Ovis aries: one gene and its partner. The protein of the gene in region 2 purifies or fractionates together with the protein of the main gene of each other region. This does not show direct contact. Links are inferred from orthologs where the notes say so. Each region holds a gene or a part of one and is shown on either strand. Other genes may lie near its edges.

The links. The genes of interacting proteins can lie anywhere in the genome.
Region 1: the proteins of POLR3K (region 2) and POLR2F purify together in Homo sapiens (affinity purification with mass spectrometry; 5 studies listed by BioGRID and IntAct, with this or other methods). This does not show direct contact. The link is inferred for Ovis aries from reciprocal best matches to the Homo sapiens genes POLR3K and POLR2F.

The regions. Positions count from the first base shown.
Region 1 is NC_056056.1:215,583,202-215,586,438, reverse strand, and holds the end of POLR2F (DNA-directed RNA polymerases I, II, and III subunit RPABC2), read right to left. Parts: intron 1,398-3,237; coding exon 1,326-1,397; intron 833-1,325; coding exon 742-832; 3' UTR 643-741; downstream 1-642. UniProt on the Homo sapiens protein: DNA-dependent RNA polymerase catalyzes the transcription of DNA into RNA using the four ribonucleoside triphosphates as substrates.
Region 2 is NC_056077.1:658,942-663,379, reverse strand, and holds the start of POLR3K (DNA-directed RNA polymerase III subunit RPC10), read left to right. Parts: upstream 1-1,588; coding exon 1,589-1,699; intron 1,700-3,028; coding exon 3,029-3,116; intron 3,117-3,978; coding exon 3,979-4,106; 3' UTR 4,107-4,438. Other genes in the region: SNRNP25 (U11/U12 small nuclear ribonucleoprotein 25 kDa protein), read right to left, coding at 298-403, 606-696, 1,141-1,431, 1,513-1,590. UniProt on the Homo sapiens protein: Core component of RNA polymerase III (Pol III) which synthesizes small non-coding RNAs using the four ribonucleoside triphosphates as substrates. Can mediate Pol I proofreading of the nascent RNA transcript.

The DNA.
Region 1 (3,237 bases), on a different chromosome or scaffold from region 2:
GGACACCTTCCAGAGCCTGGGGAAGGAGAGAGTATGGGTGTGGCAGACCAGACGGGTGGGTCGTGGAGAACAGACTGGCGTATTGGGAGTGGTCTGACAGGTGGGGAATGGGAGGGGCAGTGTGGCTGGGATGGGCAGGTGTTCAGCCCTTGCTCCAGCTGCTGACTTGGCCAGCGGGGCTCTCTCGGGGAGGGCAGATCACTGCGTCCCCAAGCTTCCTGCTGGGGGCACTGGCTCCTGAAAGGGGATCCCAGCCCACGATAAGAGGCTCGAGGCAGGTCCTCAGGAGAACAATGGGTGGCTTGATGAGACCTGCTCTGTGATACTCCTGAGAAGGGAGAAGCCCCTGCAGCCAGTCCACACTGGAAAGGAAATTGGGGGTTTCCGTGGCAACCAGCTTCCTGGGCACAAAGGCGCGTCTGTCTGCTAGGAAGGCAGCCGAGGTGTCTCCTGCAGCAGCCTCTGCTCTGGTGGACTGTGAGATGGAGGGGGGCACGCAGGGGAGCCCAGGGGGTCAGGGCTCTGGTGCTTCTTAAAGAGCTGATGGTCCCAGGGCCACTGGGATGCGCACAGCCTCCAGGCAGCAGGATGGTAACAGTGAAGACGCAGGTGGGCCTCACAGGCAGCGGGAGGCAGAAGGGGTTGAAAGGTTGAAGAATTTACTATTTACACGTATAAAGACTATAAAAAGACTATGAGATGAGCCACGGGCGGAGGCCCAGTCCAGAGGCTGACTCCAGCTCAGTCGGTGATGATGAGCTCGTCGACGCCCCAGTCTTCGTAGCTCCCGTCGGGCAGGTAGCGGCGAATGATGATGGGGATCTTCCGGGCCCTGTGACCGGGGGAAATCGAGGTACATGGGTGCTGACCCTGGCTTTGCAGCAGAGGGACAGCAGGCGCAGAAGGCAAGGGAGGAGAAGCCTTAGGAGCATCCTCTTGAGACCACGGATGTACTTCGTAGGTGAGGAATTTCAGCAAAAAAAAAAGAAAAGTCCCTGCTTCTCTGAGTGTGGGACCAAAATCTACAAAGGGCCTGCCATCCCACAGCGAAGGGCGAGGCAGAAAGCAGAGGGATGTTGGTAAGGCCAACTGCAGCAGGAAAAAGGGACGATGGGACAGACAGGGACGGTCCATGTCTCGTCAATGTCCTCCCCTCCCCCTTGGCCCGTCCCCTCCTCCCCGGTGAAGGGCTGACTCCCAAACTAAGGGTCTACAGGAACAAGACCACACGTCCCCAGCAGGGAAGTGCGGGAAGGCGCGCAGCAGAGCACCCAAGGGATGCCCCCAGGGCTCTGGAGCCACAAACCAGGATCTGGGTGACTTACTTGAGCTCCTTCATGGCGATCAGTAAAGGATCTGTCTCCCCCTCCAGCTCCACCATCACAGGGGCGCACATCCTGCAGGTGTAAGGACAGGTGTGGGGAGATCACACACACAGGGAGAAGGCCCAGCATGAAGCTGGGCAGTTTCACAAACAGGATCGGATCAGCGCCCCAGAGCTCACCTAGAAAGGGCCCCAAGAAAGGGCACCTCCCAAAAGCGGCAGGTGCGGAGCAGCGGTCCAGGGCTGCCGACAGTGAGGGTACTTGAGTGGCAGCCAGTAGACTAGGCTTAAACTGGGCCTGAAAGACCCTGAATGTCTCTCCAAATCTCAGCATCCTCATTTGAAAATGAAGACAAAAAGCCCTGCCACGCCTACACAACAATAATGCTAAAACGCTGCTGGCTACAAGCAAAGCCTCACTAGGCGCCATAGCTGCTCTCCACCCACCACGTGGATGTCTCATTTGTAGTAAGCACTACTGCTACTTCCGTTTTACTGAGGAGGAAACTGAGGCACAGGGAGGTCAGTAATTTCCTCAAGGTCACACAGCCAGTGAGTGGTAGAACCAAGATTTGAACCCTGAAGACTCCTCTCTACTATTCTGTAACACCTCCCATTAAAAAACTGGTGATCCACAAACTGAAGCCAGGTACTGTGAAAGGGACAAGTGTGAGCTGTCATTACTGGGTCGTGTGACACTCATCACGTCCACTACCCTGGCCAAGGACCTTCCCCAGGGCCTGTCACAGACTCCTGAGCCCACGGCCACAGCAGAATATTCCCACACAAAGGACCCACATGTGCAAGAGCTCACCCTCTGATCACTCTACTCAACCCCCAGCCCTGCCTCAGGGCCTAGCTCGCCTCGTCTTCCTTCTCTGTCTTGGCAACACCCCCTGCAGGGGTCCTGCTCCTCTAGCCCCTACACAAGGCCTGTGGTCAGGCTCTCCCCTGCTTACCTCTCTTCCTTGATACCCCATGGCCAACAGGCAGGCAGGACCTCCTCTGGCCCCCACTCACCTCTGCAGTACTTTCTCATGCTACCTGCCTCTATTCACCCTACATTCCAGCCACATCAAACCACTATAGCTTCTTATGCAGGCCCTGTTGTTTCCCTTCTGCATCCTCACACGACTGCTTCCTCTTCTTACAGGCCTGAGAGAGGCTCAGAGGTCTCCACCCTGGAAAGCACGCGCTGAAGCCTCAGGGCCCTGACTCATCTCACACACACTTCTCTCAACACCACTGTCACTAAACTGTGACTTCCCGTTTGAAGTTTTCCAAACAAGACCTGGTGGTCCAGGACCCCAAGTTCTATTCTAGTGCAACACCTGGCCCACAGCAGAGGGTCTAAAAGCAGACAAACCAGTTCCAGGCCCATCTCCTCTAGGAAGTCACCCTTATTGATTCCAACTCAAGTTTACACTAATGGACCCCAAACCTGATAGGAGAGCGTGCTAAAAATACAGGTTCCCAGGTCCTTCCCCAGACCCGCTGAACAGATTCTCTAGTGAAGGAGCCTGAGAACCTATATTAGCAAAGCTCCCCTGGTGATTCAGATAACCAGCCAGTCTGAGAGCCACCAGTTTACACTAAATGATCTACTAATTTTATTGCTAAATATTCTGATGTCTGTTACTCCCCAAAGCCTGAAAATTCCCCAGGGGCAGAAACCAAGTATTTAACTTTCTCTATATCTTCTCTCAATAATTATTTAAACTTCCCCCAACATTTAAGAATGTGGCAAACTGCTTTCCCTGACATGCATATGCCTTATTTCTTTCAAGATATGAATAATTCAAGAGCAGTCATTCATCCAGCCCTGCTACATTCACAGGAAATGTGAGAGTGTGCCCTCAATGTCTCCACCAGGGTTTCCAAGTGGCAACCTTCCTTGGGAAGCAGCCATGGGG
Region 2 (4,438 bases):
GCGAGGGGCTGGTAGCAGCTCCTCTAGCCAGGGGAGCCACATCCAGGCACACGGCACGCCCTCAGGTGTCCCCACGTGCAGCTGCCCAGCTGCCCGAGTGGTAACACAGAAGAGCAGCAGCTAGGGCAGGGCCCGCAGGCACAGGACACCTGCCCTTTTTAAAGGCTCGGGACAGGGAGCTTGACGCTCTAGGCCGAATCCTGAGCAGAGCCCAGAAGATGACAAGGCTCGTTCGTGTCCGGCACATCCTCCCCGTCTCCCAGGAAGGGCTGAGGGAGGAGCCGAGGCTCCACTCACCAGCTGATGTGCTGAATGCCTCCCTCGCGCTCCTGCCTGAGCTGCACGTATCTCTGGATGGCCTTCTTCAGGTCCAGGACCGTGGCGTTCTGGACTACAACCACAGCTGCACAAGCAGAAGATCCCCAGCGTCAGGTGGCAAGAGGAGAGCCCAGAAGCTCTGTAACTTCCCAAAGCTCAAGTCTGGGCAGGTGTGGGTGTGCCCAACAGGCCTGGGCACAGCCCGGAGTTCCCACCCACCAGCTCTGCTAACATCCTCTCCTGTGAAGGTTCAGACTGCTCTGCCAGAGCGGGAGGGCAGCACTTACGCATAACTTCTCCATCCATCTTGCACACTCGCACTGTCATTGCTTGGCCGTATTCTAATGCTATTTGGGAATTAACTTCTTCTAAAGTAACCTGGAAAAGACCAAGGATGGAGGTGGGAGCTCTCTTCACCACCCAAAACAACAAAGGCAGACAAGCTGACAGCGTTTATAAAGTTAGGCAGAACCTTCCTGAAGTCTGAGGAGAACGGAAAATGGGAAACATCGATCTTTTACTTTTTACTTGAAAATTACATTATTTCTGCTTACCCCAGGCTTCTGCACACCAATTTCTGGTTGTTTTTAAAACACTGCTGACATGTCAAATGTCCTGACCAGTCGGTTTTTCGGCGCCCCTTTAAATTTCGCACCCGAGGCCAAAGCCTCGCTCGCCTCCAGGCCCGGCAGGAGCCTTCTGCCTAGACGCTCCGCTACGCTCGGAAACGCCTTCCCCAGGCCGAGGCCGCAGCCCCCAGCGGTCCTAGGGTCCGTCCGCGCCCCGACCCCCGCCCGGGGGAACGACGCGGCCCCCGCGCACCTGGATCGGAAGGTCGCAGAGCAGCGGGTCTTGCACAACCATGGCCAGGCCCTCCTGGAACACGTCCACCGCCTCGGAGTGCGGCAGCGCCTCCTCCTCGTCCTCCTCGTCGTCCTGCGGCTCCGGCCGCGCCGCCACCCGCGGCTCCTCCAGGGCGCCGGGCTTCCCGCCGGCCCCGCCCGCACAGCTGGTCCGCGCGACAGAGGTGGTCGCGCACGCGCCGGGAAGGCTACTATATCCCCACCGTCGGGCGTCGGGGGCGGGGCCACTCGAGGACCAATGAGAGATGAGCTACTGGGAGCCGGCCCGCCACTGCTCTCCCTGGGGGCGGGGAGGCGGCGTGATTATTGGTGGGCTGGCAGGGGGCGGGGCGGGGACCACGGGGCGCTGGGAACGCCGGCGCCGTGCTGCCGCGGGCGCTGCCGGGAGCGCCGAGCCTGTGGCGGCCATGCTGCTCTTCTGCCCGGGCTGCGGGAACGGGCTGATCGTCGAGGAGGGCCCGCGCTGCCACCGCTTCGCGTGCAACACCTGCCCCTACGTGCACAACGTCACGCGCAAGGTGGGCGCGCGCGGCGCGGAGGCCGACGCTCTCGCGAGGCGCCCGCGCGACCCGGGCCTTCCCCGCCTCCTTCCCCGCCTGGACCGGCGTCCTTTGGGCCCTGCCGGCCGCCCCGTGGCGCTCCGCCCGCCGCGCGCTGCTCCGGGGGCCTGTGTAGGGCTTTTGCGCCCGGGTCGCTCTTCCCCTCTGTACCCGTGTCACTCGTCGCTCGTGCTTTTACCCGGAGGATTATTTAAAATTGCAGCCTCTTTCTCCACCTCGCCCTTCTCCTAATCTTATTTTTTTAATAGGACTCGTTTGCCTTCCATTGCGGTTTATAATTTACTTGTGCGCCTGGTTTGTTAACACTAGGGTATACATTTTTCAGTTTTCGTCCCCTCTTATGTTCTAGTCTGAACATCTGGGATATATTGGGTATTCAGTACGGAGTGATACATACTGTGTTATAACTCAGTTGTAACTCAGATGTTACTTTCCGTCGATAATGCCTCTTTCCTTTTTAGAACACCTTTAATAATTTTTAGAAGTAGAGCACGCTGGTGTTGCTGCTGCTAAGTCACTTCAGTCGTGTCCGACTCTGTGCGACCCCATAGACGGCAGCCCACCAGGCTCCCCCGTCCCTGGGGTTCTCCAGGCAAGAACACTGGAGTGGGTTGCCATTTCCTTCTCCAATGCAGGAAAGTGAAAAGTGAAAGGGAAGTCGCTCAGTCGTGTCCGACTCTTCCCGACCCCATGGGCCGCAGCCTCCCAGGCTCCTCTGTCCTTGGGATTTTCCAGGCAAGAGCACTGGAGTGGGTGCCATCGCCTTCTCCGGTGTTACCTCATTAGTTTATATGCTGCTCCACCATGTAGCAGTGCTGTGGGAGTTTAGAGTCTGAAATTATGAAGGGTGACATTTCAAGGACGGCTGGTAAAACCTGGAAAATAGTTAGAAAAAGCTCTGTCTGGGCAGAGTGGCTGGGCCACCCTGCCAAGTGCTCCACTTTGGCCTTAGTCGTCTTTGGATGTCTTATTTCAGTGACCAAGTATTGTAGAGGTGGGAGAACAAGAGGGTCACACCAGCGCCGTTTTTCCTTTCCTGCTCAGTTGCTTCATCCAGTCCTCACAGAATCTTTTTATGGGGACATCCCAATTGTGGATCCTCCTGATTCTCATGGAGATTCCTGCTCGGTGACAGCAGGAATTGTGCTTTCCTTTAGTATTCCTCCCTTCATGTTGAAGGCAGGAAGCAGAGTCTGGGCTGATACTTGAAGGCATGGTTTGGTGACCTGGCTTTGTACTGGTCGCTTCCTGGGAGAGTCTGAAGACCTGCTGTTTGTTGTTTGTTAGGTAACAAATCGGAAGTATCCAAAGCTGAAAGAAGTGGATGATGTGCTTGGTGGAGCAGCTGCCTGGGAGAATGTTGACTCTACTGCAGGTGAGAGAGAAAACCTTTCCTGTTTCAGAGCTTTGGGTAAGGGTGCAGCCAGGAGCTGTAGGTAAGGATGAGGCCGCTGGCTGTGCCACTGCAGAGCAGAGTCTGTGATGTATCAAGTGGGCTTCTGAGACTAGAAACTGTTTTCTTCTCTAATGTATTTGTTGCGCAGACAGTATTGGCACAAGCTTTGGAGTGATTCAGACCTGAGTTAGTCTCAGGGTGATCTCATATTGATGCTGATGGGATTAATTAAAAAATCAGTGTAAGGATTCTGTTCTAATATAGTTTTCTTTTAAAGTCAAAGGTAAAGAGTATTAAACTGCCCTAAATATTCTGTGAAGTAAGTATTTGAGTCTTGATTCATCTCTGATAGTGACAGATGTGACCCAGGAAGGAAAGAGAGCCCTCGACACGACCAGGCCAGAGAGGAGGAGGAGCTCAGGGCGATTAGTACTGTCTTTTTACCCCAGAGGGGGCCGTCCAGATTTGCTCTGTTAAAAATCTCTCATGGGCAGAATTTGTCACTGGGAGGTGAATTACACACCAAATAGTGTCTGAGTGTTTGAAGGAGTTTTCATCAAGAGCAAGGTTCTTGAATTGAAATCTCGGTGAAAGTAAAATTAAAAAAGAAAAAAGTACAATCAAGATCACAGGTCTCCTTCCCTCAGTTGTGAGAGCACCGTGGGAATGACACTCCTTTGCAGGAAAACCTTGCAGGGCACCTCAGGCGACGGATACTAGTTGAGCTGGGGAGTGTCTGCTGCTGTGTTTCATGAAATGTCCACTTTTAACAAGCATGTTGATCATGAGGATCGTTTGTTTTTTTTAGTAACCGTGGGTCACTGTTTGTTCTTGTTGCCAGAGCCGTGTCCCAAGTGTGAACATCCTCGAGCCTATTTCATGCAGCTGCAGACCCGCTCTGCAGATGAGCCCATGACCACCTTCTACAAGTGCTGCAGCGCGCAGTGTGGACACCGCTGGCGGGACTAAGGGCGGGGTGGCCCAGCTGCGTCAGCGTCTGCGTGCTTTACTGTCCAGGGTGCATTCCCAGCTGCGAGTGGGAACTGCGTGTCCTGAGGGTCTTGGCTGGCGTGGTGGAAAGCTGACCCTTTAAGGGTGGCTGCCCGGGGAGTCAGGAAGTCCAGCCCGCCTCCCAGTCAGCAGATTAACTCCTTGATGCTCAGAATGTCCAGATTCTGCCCATGCTGTGTGTGGACGGGAGTATCCGTCCCTGAGTGCACCCTGCTGAGGTCCTGCTCTTCCTCTTTCATGTTTATTGGGCAGTTGATGTTCTACCATCAGCCAACACTCTAATATTTACA